3 linked regions of the Oryzias latipes genome follow. The protein of the gene in region 3 purifies or fractionates together with the protein of the main gene of each other region. This does not show direct contact. Links are inferred from orthologs where the notes say so. Each region holds a gene or a part of one and is shown on either strand. Other genes may lie near its edges.

Region 1 (4,977 bases), on a different chromosome or scaffold from region 3:
ATCCCGGTCAGTCCTCAGTCTTCCTGCACACCTCCATCACCTGTTACTTAACCGTTTCTGATTCCCTTCTCTCTGCAACTATCACCTGTTTGTTCTCTGCTAAATTGAGAGTGGGCAGCGAGGCTCCGCTCCCGGCTTTCATTAGTCTGACAAGTTAACAATAGACGGAGTAAAGCAGAAGGATGACAACAAGGCGTGACTCAGTAGTCAAGCACACATATTTCTATAAGAGGCAGGGTTAATTACTGACCTAAGAGATGGAAAAGAAGAAGTTAGAACTCATCTTCTGTTTTCCTTTGAGGTCTGACATCTGACTTCATCCAACTGCGCGGCCGTCTGTCCAGACTTGGCCTGAATCTGTCGCCTCTCTGCGCTGCATTTTTGTAAATCTGTGTCTGGATTGTGTTTCCCGCTCTCCCGTCTCTCATTGGATTATGTGGTTGTATTACACTTAAATAAAGCCAGTCTGAATTTTGTGAGTCACAAAATCGTCAAATCGATGGGCAAGTTTTCCAAGTTAACTTTGATTTTAAAAATAGTTCAATAAAAGTGTATAAAGTTGATCAATTCTGCCTCTTTTCAGTGAAAAATGGAGGCTGATCTCGCTTGTGCTTGTCTTCCGTCAGACCCGTACCCCACATCCTTACACTACACCCGCAAGTGGGACAAGATGGTGTCGGACATCAGCGAGGAGGAGAAAAACGAGAAGCTGGAGGGAGACGCGGCACTCAACAAGCTCTTCCAGCAGATTTACACGGACGGCTCGGACGAGGTCAAACGAGCCATGAACAAATCATTTGTGAGTACTTTTCCTCCAAGTGGCATTTGACTTTTAACGTTTGCAGACTCCTCTGCTGCTGGAGAGCAGTCAAATTAAGCTGAATAGGATGTTCTTCATCTTCTGTCCAGCAGAAGTTAATCCTTTTACAAAATAAAAGCCTTCAGGAAAGAACTGCACCTCTCAGTTATCCTCCCATACCCATTTCTCCCACCTTAGATAGGGGAGGCGGTGTGTCAACCGTGTTTTTATAAAATATCAGACCTTTTGGGTATTAACAAAAAAAAGATAGTGTCTCACTCTTTCTGAACATGTCTTCCCTGAAACCCTCTTGTCCGCTTTGCAGTGATTTTTTTTTTTTAACAGAGCAGACAGGAAGGGAGTGAGGAGAAAGCGAAGAGTCTAAGTTTGTATGCATTCTCATACAAAAACAGGAGATCATAGAAACACAGACAGCTTGAGATCTGCTCTGTCAGCCGAAGGATCAGATTTCGCCAAGAAAACAAACAAAACTCCATTATCTGCAAGTGAGCACGTAACAACACTGCAGTTTTATTTCACTGGTAAAATTTCCTCTTTGCAACACAGAAACTCTCTCCTCCTTTAAGCTGAAGATGTAAAACTGGTCAAAGCTGACAGTTTTAACAAGTGTGTTTTAAAAAAAACATTGTTTTTCACACTTGCATCAGCGATTCTAACTCTATATTTGATTCAGCAAGTGCCATCTAGGTTAAAGAAGAAAGAGTTTGTCTTTTCATGGAGAGCTGACCTTTTGATAGAGGCAGCTTTGGTCTTTTCACCTCACAATAGTGTAAGTATTGTTGAAGTGATCTCTCGTTTCCCCGTCGTTAGCTTTGCGCTCACGAAGGAAGCTAATTTTTGGCCTCAATTCGGGACCCATTCGACGTCCTCCAACTATTGCATAAATCTGAGCGAAAAGCGGAGCATTCCTCAAACCGGCACAGACGGACGCTGAACTGACGGCGACCCACAGCCGCTCCCAAACAGCCATCTGCACTTATCGCAACACGCATATTGATTTGCCACAGTCATGTCATCTGAATCCATGCAGAAGAGATGGGGACTGCGGAGTCTTAAAAAAAAGACAAAAAAAATGAATCCACACTCAAACTGACGGCTCGTGTTGGAGGTGGATCTGGGCTGCTTTCTGCAGAAATGATCATTTATATGAACAGTGATCCACTTTGGTTTTCATTTGTAGCATTCTGAGGAAGTGAAGAGCTGCAGGATTTGTGTATTTGTGTTGACTTGAAGATCACTAGATTTTTAATGGAATGGAATATTATATATTTTTTTTTTATTTAACCTTTATTTAACCAGGAAAGTCCCATTGAGATTAAAAAACACTTTTCCAAGGGAGTCCTGGCCAAGAGGCAGCACATTTCAATACAATTTCACATTTTGAAACAAACCAGCACCTTTCTTTTTGCTTATTTTGCCTGCAAATATCCCAGATTTTCTTTTAATCCTTTTGAAATCCCTTCAAGATAAAGCTCTGCCGTTTTTTTAAGGAACCATTCAGTGCTTGGTCTATGCAGAATATAATAGTTGGCAAAAAACAATTTTATAGACCCACTTGATTATAATTTAATCTGTTTTGAACGTGATCCCAGTGGAATTTTAATTATGATTATGCCGTTTTTAGCCAAAATAATAAAAAAAAAAACTGTAGTTTTGTAGGACATAGTTTCCACAGAGCTGCAGTAGTTCATTAGAAATTTGCCTCAGAGTTGTGGGGGGAGGGGGGACGATGACGCAGAGCAACCCCACCCCCCATTCCCCTTCTCGTTGCTGAGAGCTTGGCGCAATGGGAACCCAATGTCACAAATAAGGTCTTTTTGCAACAGCATGTTTTTGTCTGCTCCTGTTTCACAAGTATTTGTATAAAGAAATAATCAGAAATGTAATATTAAGCTTACATTTTCTTTATATATCTTTATATAAATTTTCTTTATATTCTTTATATAATCCTCAGAAGGATCCCGCTAGAACATGTCAAAAACGCCAATAACATCATTTTAATCGGAAAGTTCTTTAAGCCCTTTTAAGAGGCTGAAGTGCGAAGAGAGGACAGAAAAAACCAAGTCAAAGGAGAAACTATAAAGTCCTTCAGAAAGCCTGTAGACCGGCTGCTCAAGACACTTTAAAAGATTAGACAAAATCAGTTCAGAAAACCTTCAAGGACAAGAAAGGTCAGCTCACACGGAAAGTTATGCATCAAGGTTTAATGAAATCTCATGCGCGTGTGTGCAGATGGAGTCTGCTGGCACCGTTCTGAGCACCAACTGGAAAGATGTGGGCAAGAGGAAGGTGGAGGCGAGTCCACCCGACGATGTGGAGCACAGGAAGTACTGAGCGCGTGCAGCTCTCTCTGCTTTCCTCCTCCTGTTTAAAGTCATCAAGTTGGTTCGTCTGAGCTCCGGCGGGAATCCCGACGCTCTGCTGCGAGCGTGACAGCCCACCTCTCCTCCTCATGTCAGTGCTTTTTTTCTTTTTTTTCTTCACTAAGTGCAGGGAGCCAGCGTTCCCACTCTCCCTTTCCCAAACCACAGATGGCTTATTCTCTGAAAAAGCTGATCACTAACTGGGTTCGATTGATTTTGAATAAAGGCCGACATACATGAAGGGAAGCAGGTGTAACTGATAGGCCTGAAACATCACTTTTAGAATCGCTATGTTTCTGTTTTCTCCAAAAGACCTTCCTGTTTGGCAGCCTTTATCACCTAATATCAGTTCTTGTGTACAAATGTAAAGTTGCTAATAATAATAAAAAGGATTTTAAAAATACAACTGACTTTAGAGTTTTTCTTCTTTCTGATCAGTCGACATTAATACTCGTCAGGTGTTCTCTCAGTGTGACTTTAGGTTTGTTAAAAAGAAAGATTTGTCGTTTGACTTCATAACGTTCATCTTGTGTTTTATAGTCATTTCCGGGGATTTTTGTTAACGGGTGGGATCGCCTCGAGGAAACCCACGGCTACTGAAATGACTGTATGACCATTGACTGTATCGGACTCTGTTTTACTATCTAGTGCTCCGGATTTCAAAAGTAATTTAGACACCATGCTCGCTCCTTTTTCTTTTTTTAGAGGCAAATATGATGACGTCATCGATTCCTCAAAGTAAAAACCTAATAAATATTAACATTTTATAAAGACTGTTTATGAAGAAATATGTTCTCATGATGAAAACTTGTAAAAAAAAAAAACATTTTTTTTCCACAAAAATTGTTCAAACGCAATGCATTGTGGTCTACGTTTGCCAATTTAGTGATTCACACTGGTTTTTTGCAGAGACTTCTGGGAAATTTCCAGGGTACTCAATTCTGGAATAGAAGATTCAGGCAGCACTACAAAATGGTGAACTCGCTGAATAGTGCACTATGTAGTGAGTAGTGAAGGAATTCTGACGATACCAAAGAGAACTGGAGTCTGATGCCACCTCTAGAGAACGGCTTAAGTCCGACTCAGTCGCCTTTTTTTGGCAAAACTTACGTCGCCATGTTGGAGCCACACAATGTCAGTTAGCAGTGATTCGTTTTAGTCTGTCTGAATCAACGCGTCTATGGCAACCACTATCGCCAATCAGGAGTTAGCTTGTGGGAAGGCCACACCCCCTACCACTTGAAAGCAAGATCGGGGTTGTGTCCGGATTCAGTATAAACTATAAAGTGAGTTTGATATTTTGTAGTGCTCTCCGAATCTGCTATTCCAAAATTTACATGCCCTATAATTTTCCCAGAAGTCTCTGCGAAAACCAATGTGCATCAGTGCTCACTATATTGTCAAATATAGACCACAATGCATTGCGTTTGAGCAACTTTTGTGATTAACCCTTGTGCTATCTTAGATGACCCCACCCTTACATTAACGTGTTCTCCCTACCATGACAAAGGTGGAAAGATTTCATGTAATCCATGGACAGCAGTGAAGATCACAAATCATTGAAGAAAAAAGGTTCAGAGCACTGTCTAGTGGGTCTAGATGACCCAACTAATAGCACAAGGGTTACAGAATGTATTTGAATGTGTTTTTTTTTTCCATGTTTTCATCATCAGAACACAGTGGATTCTTAGTCTGTTAAACGTTTGCATTTATCAGGTTTTTACTTTGGGAAATCTGTGACGTCATATTTGCTATTTAAAATAAAAAATGTAGTGAGCCTTGTGTCCAAATTGC
Region 2 (4,149 bases), on a different chromosome or scaffold from region 3:
GTCAGCTCACCTTGTTTACAGGGTAAATAAAAAAGATTTGCTCCTCTACGACTGTTGGTTCACTCTTTCAAAGAAACACTTCTCTTAGACAGCAGTCAAGCTGGTAGGATCACATCTCAGAGGTGGCAATTTCCAATCGGTGTCGCAATCCCTGCAAACAACCCGTGTTTTTTGCAGCACTGAGCTCCCATACTCTCGTGTTCCCCCTCTGAGCTATTTTCAGAAACGAGCCGAACCCATTCCTGCCCCCTGCATTCAACAGCTAACACTGTGGAGCCAGTGCTGCTTCTGGCTGAAACAGTCAGTGGATGGGGGAATACGAAGTGTTCTGCACGATGTTCAACCACACCAACATCCTCTCTCATGTGTCTGAGTATGTAAACTTCTACATTTGATCAATGGAGATTAATTCACTACTTGCCAGTCGAGGTACTTAACTGGAACGACACATCCCCATGAGTGTCACCTCGCCATAATCTCCATGAGATTGTGCTGCTGCTCCTCCTCTTCACTCTGAACACAGCTGACTCTCATCGGAGCAGCTGCCATATCTCAAAGAGTTCAGATGATACTGTGGTGAAAGAGGATGATAGAGAAAAGTGAAAAAACAAAAACGGATATGTGAATTTATCAAATGGTACAATCTCTTCTTTAAGACCAACAGTTTAAAATACTCAACGCCTTACCTCTTTCATTTTTACATGGTAGCCTGTGTTCTGCTCTGACATACTGTTTGCTGAGCAGGGCTGTACCAAAACTAGGAGTTAGCCACTTTAACCCTTGTGCTATCTTAGATGAATCCACCCATACATTGACGTGTTCTCCCTACCATGACAAAGGTGGATAAAGGTGGAAAGATTTAATGTCATCCATGGACACCAGTGAGGTTCACAAATCACTGAAGAAAAAAGGTTTAGCGCACTGTCTAGTGGGTCTAGATGACCCACCTCCCAATGTTAAAGTGCCTAGGATAGCACAAGGGTTAAAAACAAGACTCCAAGTTTGAGATTGGATTATTGGGTATTGGATTTCCGCTTTTCAAAATGACGGTCCAGTGTATATCCTGGACAACAAATAAAGCACCACTTTTCTTTTTTTTAATTTGCTAAACTCAAACATGATTTTCAAAGGAGATATTCTGTTACTTCCAAGTCATTCCACTAAAACATGCCCTTTTTTTTCCAAAAAGGGGAACTTAGGCAGGCCCCTGGTGTGAGTGGGTTCATATGGGTGCAGCCTAATGATTCCTGATTTGTTATTGCAGATAAAGAAAAAAAAGAATTGCAGAAATTACAAAGTGATCGATTCCCATTTAATGGAAGAAGTGACAGAATATTTGAAAAAAGGTCGCACTAGAAAATGCAACTTTACCTCAACAGACATCTTAGGTGTTAAACTACCACATAAAGATAAAGATGTACAACAATGTGGGTACAGTACAAAATATAATACAAGATACAAAGGCCGTCACAATGAGGCACAGAGTTTAAGGACACATCCAACACTTGGAAGCACAAAAAGCCTAATTTCTGTTGTCATTTCAGGGACTACGGATGGCTGAAAACCTGACGTTTGTCAGAGTGTGCACTTTAGTAACCAGTAATCCACATTTGAGCACGTTGGGAAAAGGCAAAGGTGGAAAACATTGTACACAGAAAAGCTACCGTTTGGAAATTTAAGCACCTCCTTTAAGAAGCAAAGGCATTGAAGACACCAGTAAGGCCCTCCATTGAAAGTGTTAAATATACTGCTTTGCCAGCCAATGAATAGAATAAACCTAACCTATTCTGCTTACTATTCCATTAAACCAAAACTCTTTTCCTAATGCTGTAACTTTGTTTTCCTTTGCTACATCTTAAAATAGACATCAAAAAGTGTATTATCTGTACAGATACTGGTGCTACTCTCTTAACTGTTCTTCTTTATGGAAGCCATCACTGTTTTATTAAAAAGGAGTTGTTCTTGTTATAATGGAAAACAAAACTTCAAGATGATTGGATTACAATTCCAGGAAAGTTTGCTACAAGAAAAGCAGTTTTGGCAACTTCCAAAAAGTTAGAGCCGATTAATAACGAAAAGTTTCTGGAAGAAAGAGGGCTCTAAAGTATCTGGGTGGGTGTCAAGCCTCAAAATGTGAGCATGAATAGAAATACTGAGAGGTTACTTCGTAATAAATACAGTAGTTATTGTGAGCTGCTTAACTTTGACACAAAAACCCCCAAACATTTTTGTCATATTCTTGAGATTCTTGTGAACACACTAATCGTCTTCTCTTCAGTAAAATTGAATTTGCACCAATATGATATATTTTCTAATGCAAACTGTGCACTTTACAGGTAAAGGGAGGTTTTATAAATGTTCATGTGAACTCATGGGAAAGTGCTGCCTTGAGATTGTACTCTGTCTGGGGTCTTTTCTTTACTGCAGGTTTGCCAGCAAAGTAACAGTCTCCATGGCGCTTCCTTTAGGCAAATGCACACGAGTATCTAAAAAGATGGGCCTTAATAAGAGAAAACACAAGGAAATAAAAAAAAAATGGAGTATAAATACAAAATCCATAACAATTTAAGATCATCAACTCATTCTGTATCTTTTGATTTTTACGGAAGGACAAAACCTACACCTTTATTGCTAACGACAACAGAACCAGGAAGGGTCAGCTGTGGTGCGACGACGCCATCATCGGTCCTCTGATTTGCTGCCACCTCTGCTAAAAGTTTCTGGGGATGTTGCAGGAGGTGGGCAGAGATGGAGCGCTTGGCACAGCAGCTGCAGAGGTGGGACAGCTGATGTCTGTGGGGTACGGGTTCAGGCCCATTTGCTTGTTGTCGAACAGCTTGCGGACGACAATGCGGCAGAAGTCCTCGTCGTGTTTGTGGCAGTTGTCCAGCAGCTGGCGGACTTTGGCGGTGCGCGTCGGCTGGTTGACCACCAGCTCGTAGTCCTCGCGCATCAGCATGGAGCGAGCCAGCAGCGCGTCCAAGCTTTGGTTGAGACAGGCCTCCGTCATCTGGGAGACGATCTGCACGCGCCGCATGGCGATCCAGCTGCTGATGGGGCCTTGTGACAGCGGGGGGGAGTGCGGCAGTGGAGGAGAGCAATCAGCTGAAAGAATGGAGAAAGCAGAGCCATTTGAGACAATCTGATAACCTACATTTGTTGTGCACTAAACTAAAAGAGAACGTCCAATAGTAGCTCCTCCCAGAACATTTGCAAGTCAGACTTGATAACTGAACTCCATCCATTTTCCAAACCTGCCTAATCCTTTTTATGGTAACAGTGTTGCTGGAGCCTATCCCAGACATTTTTGGGTTCATCCAGAACAGTTTACCAGCCTGTTGCAGAGTCACACAACAACAACACGCACACACTCTCACATCCACAAATAGGGACAATTTAGAGTCATCAATGAACCTAAAATGTTACATTTAGCTTCAAAAACAACAAAGACAATCACACATTTTATGTTTACCGTATTTTCCGGACTATAAGTCGCTCCAGAGTATAAGTCGCATCAGCCCAAAAATGCATTATAAAGTAGAAAAAAAAACACAGATAAGTCGCACTGGACTATAAGTCGCATTTTGACGGGAAATTTATTTGACAAAATCTGAGACCAAGAATTCTTTCTCAAACTTGTTTATTTATTCTTTTCATGAAGCATCATTGGCCAACTAATACTCTGTTTTCATCCTGTATTTGTAGAATGTAGTCATTTTTATTGCATTTCTGAATCTATGAAATCATAGATCATCAATAGAATATTATGTTGTTAGCCTTCAAGATCTTACTGTAAAAAAAGTTTGCTGATTCTCTGAGTCACTTAAACTCTTAACACTTAACATACCTCATCCATCAAATTGACCCAGGAACATCCTCTCTGTTCCTCACAAATGAACATAACAGGAGGGTTAACAATGTATGTATTTCAATTTAGTTCTAATATAAGTCACTGCGGAGTATAAGTTGCACCCCTTGCCAAACTATGAAAAAAAGGGCGACTTATAGTCCGGAAAATACAATTTCCAGAAATAACAAAAATCACATTGCTCAAAAATTCCCCTAAATCTGCTTTAATTTCTTTTAAATGTACTTCATTTTCATGAAATCACAACTTGATTGGTTACAACTTTAAGTCATAAATTTACT
Region 3 (4,998 bases):
GACCTACCACAGAGAGCTGCTGGTGTCCACGCTCACCAGCATCCAGTGCCTACTGGACAACCTGCTGCTGAATGGCTTTTTCTGCCAGGAGGATGTGGAGATTGTTCAGCGAATCCCCACCAAACCAGATAAGGTAGGAGCCTGCAACCTCCGTCAATGTCGCGGAAGTGACTTGTCTGCCCAGATAAAGACCTTCTCAGTCTCCTCCAGGTGCGTAAAGTCTTGGAGCTGGTGCAGTGTAAGGGGGAAGAGGCCTGCGAGTTTTTCATCTACATCATTTCCAAAGTGTGTGATGCGTACAGAGACCTGCAGCCATGGCTGGAGGAAATCAACTTCCACCCGAGAGGCAGTGTCATTGGGATGGAAGTGGTCAACAGCGACCCCAGTGAGTGTTCTTCTGGCAGCAGAGCCTCATTCAGCCTCTGCCATGTCTACAAAAATACTCCATGAAGATGAAAGGATGAAGTTAGCTCTGTCTTTTGTTTTGATGGGAGTTTCAGTTAAAAAATGACCGTTATATCTACATATTTAAAAACAAGTTTTACCAGAAGTTGTAATGCTGCATTCACACAGAATACAATTCACGCATCAAATTCACCTCTGTTTGGACAAGCGTCAAATTTACTCAACACCTGTCCAAAAATGTGGTCATAAACTTGACATTCTGGACGCATGTGGGAGGAGCTACCATTAAAAGTTTTGACATGGAAGCATTGACTATATCTCACATACGATGCATGAAGACACGGATGATGTTGAGAGATCAGGTTTATTAAATTCTGAAGAGCTCTATAGAATCATCTGTGTCTCCATGTGTGGGTTCATGACATCATTCAGAGACTCTCCCAGGACGGTGAGGTTGACCATCTACTGCAGAAGCTGCGTCTGAATGATAGACGTTTTCAGCAGTGCTTCCGTCTCTCTGTGACCCAGTTTGTTGACTGACTGTCCCCCAAGTCTGAGGATGAAAAATAAGAATAAAATTAGAGAATCTTTGTATTATTTTTTATTATTATTTTAATTAATTCAAAATCATAAAGTTCAGAGGTCATTGTTCATGACCAGAGAATGGTAGTTTGTCCTCTCTTGTTGGGTGAAGTGTCCCTGCTCCAGGTGGAAGAGTTTAAATATCTTAGGGTCTTGTTCATGAGTGAGGGAAGATCAGAGCGTGATATCGACAGGCAGATTGGTGCGGCATCCGCCGGTATGCGGTCGCTGTACTAGTCTGTTGTGATGAGGACGTTGGCTGCGCCTAAATTAACTTTGACCTGTATCTGTGTATTTCTGTTGTATGTTTAATCTTGTTTGGGTTGTACTGGAATGACATTTCGTATGTCAGTGTAAGCTTGACAATAAGCCGGATTCTGATTCTGATTCTGAAGAGAGAGCTGAGCCAGAAAGCAAAGCTCTCAATTTACTGGTCGATCTTCGTTCCAATACTAACCTATGGCCATGAGTTCTGGGTCATGACCGAAAGAACCAGGTCCCAGATGCAAGCGGCTGAAATGGGCTTCGTCCGTAGGGTGTCTTGGTACTCCCTTAGAGAAAGGGTGAGAAGCTCAGTCACCCGTTGGGAGCTTGGGGTTGAACTGCTTCTCCTCCACATTTAGAGGAGCCAGTTGAAGTGGCTTGGCATCTAGTCCGTATGCCTCCAGGACGCCTCCTTGGGGAGGTGTTTTGGGCATGTCCCACTGGGCGGATGGAGAGACTATGGAGAGACTATGTCTCCTGGCTGGTCTGGGAACCCTTCGGCTTCCCCCCAGAGGAGCTGGAGGAAGCGGCAGGGGAGAAGGAAGTCTGCCCCCGAGACCCGGTCCCGGATGAGCAGAAGAAGATGGATGGATGGATGGATGGATGGATGGATGGAATGTTCTAGAGGAGAATAATCCGATTCTTCTCCATGTTTGTTTAGACTCAACCCACTCATCACATAATTAACACATCACAAGCCAAAGCTGAGTACCTGATAGGTTAATGCTATGTGTGTTCTTCACCAAAGTTAAGGATATTTGAACTCTGGACACGCTGTGACTCCTAAAATAGGCTGCGACGCTGAACAGAACCTCTGACTGTGCCTTAACATTGACTTAACATTAAAAGTGAAGACCCCTGATGCGTGAATCACCTTCAGTGTGAACAAGTTTACACATGACATGAAGGCAGCCAATCTCTAATTAATAAATGCGCAGAGACTTGAAGTCAAATATTTTTACCATCACTTATTCATATTTATTTTGAATAATTTTAGCCTGATGTCAGCAGATAAATGTGAGAAAAGCTTTCATTTGTAGACTGTCAGCAAATCCGACAGAGAATGCTGACTGACTGTTTGTTCAAACCTTCAGTCAGCAGGTACAGCCAGAAGCTGCGGTACGAGATCAGCCGGGACACCAGCTTCATCATGTCGTACGGGCAGCAGGAGGAGACCCAGCTGGAAGACCTCTACACCGACACTGTGATGGAGTTACTAAACGACACCAATGAGAACCTGGGCTTCTTGGACAATTTGGACCAGCTCCTCGGAGATGATGCAGTCTTCAATCCCCAGGGTGAAGTCATTTATGTGATGGGAGATGCTGGAGTGGGAAAGTCCATCCTCCTGCAAAAGCTGGCAAACCTCTGGTCCAAGAAGGAGCTGAAGACGGATGCCCTCTTCTTCTTCAAGTTTCGCTGCAGGATGTTCAACATCTTCAAGGATGCAGAGCAGATTTCCCTCAGGAACCTGTTGTTCAAATATAACTGTTACCCGGACCATGACCCGGACAATGAAGTCTTCGATTACATCCTGCGCTTTCCTGAGAAGGTTGTTTTCACCTTTGATGGCTATGATGAAATTCAGGAGGATGTGGACATTGTGAAATTTCCTGAAGTGGTGTCTCCAGAAGACAAGGCCAATGCCCTCCAGCTGCTCATGAGCCTCCTAAGTGGGAAGCTGCTGAAAGGCTCCAAAAAGGTGATGACAGCACGAACAGGGATCGAGATCCAAAGTCGGGTGTTGCGGAAGAAGGTAGCTCTCCGAGGATTCTCTCCAGACCACCTGAAGGCTTACATCGATCTTCACTTTAAGGAGCAGGAGCATCGGGAACTTGTGTCAGTTCAGCTGGATGCCAGCCCCCACCTCTGCGGCCTGTGCTCCACCCCCCTCTTCTGCTGGATCGTCTTCAAGAGCTTCAGGCACCTGCAGACCATGCATGACGACTTTCACCTGCCTGACACCTGCATCACCCTGACAAACATCTTCCTGCTGCTGTGTGAGGTCTTCCTTAGCCGCTTGGCCTCACCGGCGGCCTCCTCCCTGAGAAAAGGCACTCGCTGCACCTCAGAAACCTTCAGGGCCGGACTCAGGCCCCTCACGGCGTTTTCCAGGCTGGCTCTTCAGGGCTTGGAGCGCAGAAGTTTAATCTGCAGTCAGGAGGAGATCAGTGAGTGTGGTCTGACAGAGGAGGACTTGGCTTTGGGGTTCCTGAAACCGGTCAGTGACTACGACCCCGGCAGAGGCCCTGGGAGCTTTGAATTCATTCACACCACCCTGCAGTCGTTTCTGGCTGCGTTTGCTCTAGTGCTGGAGGAACAGGCTCCTACAGGCACCATCCTCAAGTTCTTCAGCGAGTGCAGCTGGAGACAGGAGCCATCTTGTCTGCCCTTCACCTTCTGCATCGGCCGCCCTGTGAATTTGAGCCTCAGCAAACCATTTTCCACCAATGAGCACTTTCTGTTCACCAACCTGTTCCTGTGCGGGCTCCTGGCAAAGTCTCAACTCGGCTTGATGGGACATCTGGTATGCTCGAATTTACTGAGGAAAAAACGGGCTACGCTGAAGTCTTACCTGTCCACAGTGGTCCGGAGCCACATGAAGGGCTTACCCACTTACAAAGGGGATGACGGCACTAAGGTTCACGTTCTGCCCAACTTCCTCTGGATGGTGCGGTGCATCTTTGAGACGGGGAGCAAACAGATTGCTCAGATGACAGCCAAGGGCATCACGCCGTACTTCATCAAGCTGGGCTACTGTAACGTGTACTCTGGCGACTGCACCGCCCTAAACTTTGTCCTGCAGCACCATCGGACGCTCCTGCGGCTTGACATGGACAACAACAACATCAGTGACTATGGAGTGAAGCAGCTCAGGCCGTCCTTCAGCAGGATGACTGTGGTGAGGTAAGGAAAGGCTGCAGCTAAACCCTAAACCTTAGCAAATATTCAGTCCAATGTAAAACTCTTTACACTCATCTCAGGTTCCACCTCATTGAGATGAGATGAATGAAGTAAATGCATTTTGAAAATAGATCCATTTTTATCAGTTCTTTTAGCAAATCAAAGGGATTTTTACCAGTAAATAAATTGTTTTAAAATACAGTACAGACCAAAAGTTTGGACACACCTTCCCATTCATTTGAATGAAAAAGTGTGTCCATACTTTTGGTCTGTACTGTATAATGCCGTTCTTTCTCACTAATGTTGGCAAATCATTGTCAAGTATAACAAACCAGTTTGACTTCATAGACATATATGGTTAGAATTAAAGTTTGAAATTCTGTTCTTCCCAAAAGTCTTTGTAACAAACCAAACCAGATTCACAGATGGTCAGAAATGGGTGGGGGCTCTGTCACATTAAAAAAAAAAACGAAACCCATTTGAAAGCTGCACAACCTGATCTGCAATGGTGGATGTTCTTTTCTGCAGAGCTGCTTCTTTGCTCACCTGTTGGTTTCTCTTTAGGTTGTCTGTTAACAGCCTGTCAGACAGCAGCATAGAGATTTTGGCTGAAGAACTGTGCAAGCACAAAATTGTGCAGATTTTGGGGTGAGTAGACATTGTTCCTCTGGAGCTGTTCCTTTGCTCCTAATGTCAGTATCACCCTGAGGTGTGGACTCGAGTCAGACTCAAGTCATGAATTTGATGACTTTAGACCCGACTTGAACTTTCACATCAGTAACTTGTGACTTGACTCGGAAAGACTTGCTATTTGCCCCAAATCCAAAGATTAGAAACATTTTG

The links.
Region 1: the proteins of nod1 (region 3) and sugt1 purify together in Homo sapiens (affinity purification with western blotting; 3 studies listed by BioGRID and IntAct, with this or other methods). This does not show direct contact. The link is inferred for Oryzias latipes from reciprocal best matches to the Homo sapiens genes NOD1 and SUGT1.
Region 2: the proteins of nod1 (region 3) and ripk2 purify together in Homo sapiens (affinity purification with western blotting; 4 studies listed by BioGRID and IntAct, with this or other methods). This does not show direct contact. The link is inferred for Oryzias latipes from reciprocal best matches to the Homo sapiens genes NOD1 and RIPK2.

The regions. Positions count from the first base shown.
Region 1 is NC_019875.2:17,071,839-17,076,815, forward strand, and holds the end of sugt1 (protein SGT1 homolog), read left to right. Parts: coding exon 1-6; intron 7-626; coding exon 627-799; intron 800-3,052; coding exon 3,053-3,154; 3' UTR 3,155-3,586; downstream 3,587-4,977. UniProt on the Homo sapiens protein: May play a role in ubiquitination and subsequent proteasomal degradation of target proteins.
Region 2 is NC_019875.2:13,792,379-13,796,527, reverse strand, and holds the end of ripk2 (receptor-interacting serine/threonine-protein kinase 2), read right to left. Parts: intron 3,106-4,149; coding exon 2,711-3,105; 3' UTR 1,291-2,710; downstream 1-1,290.
Region 3 is NC_019874.2:8,865,378-8,870,375, reverse strand, and holds part of nod1 (nucleotide-binding oligomerization domain-containing protein 1), read left to right. Parts: coding exon 1-133; intron 134-210; coding exon 211-385; intron 386-2,345; coding exon 2,346-4,158; intron 4,159-4,719; coding exon 4,720-4,803; intron 4,804-4,998. UniProt on the Homo sapiens protein: Pattern recognition receptor (PRR) that detects bacterial peptidoglycan fragments and other danger signals and thus participates in both innate and adaptive immune responses.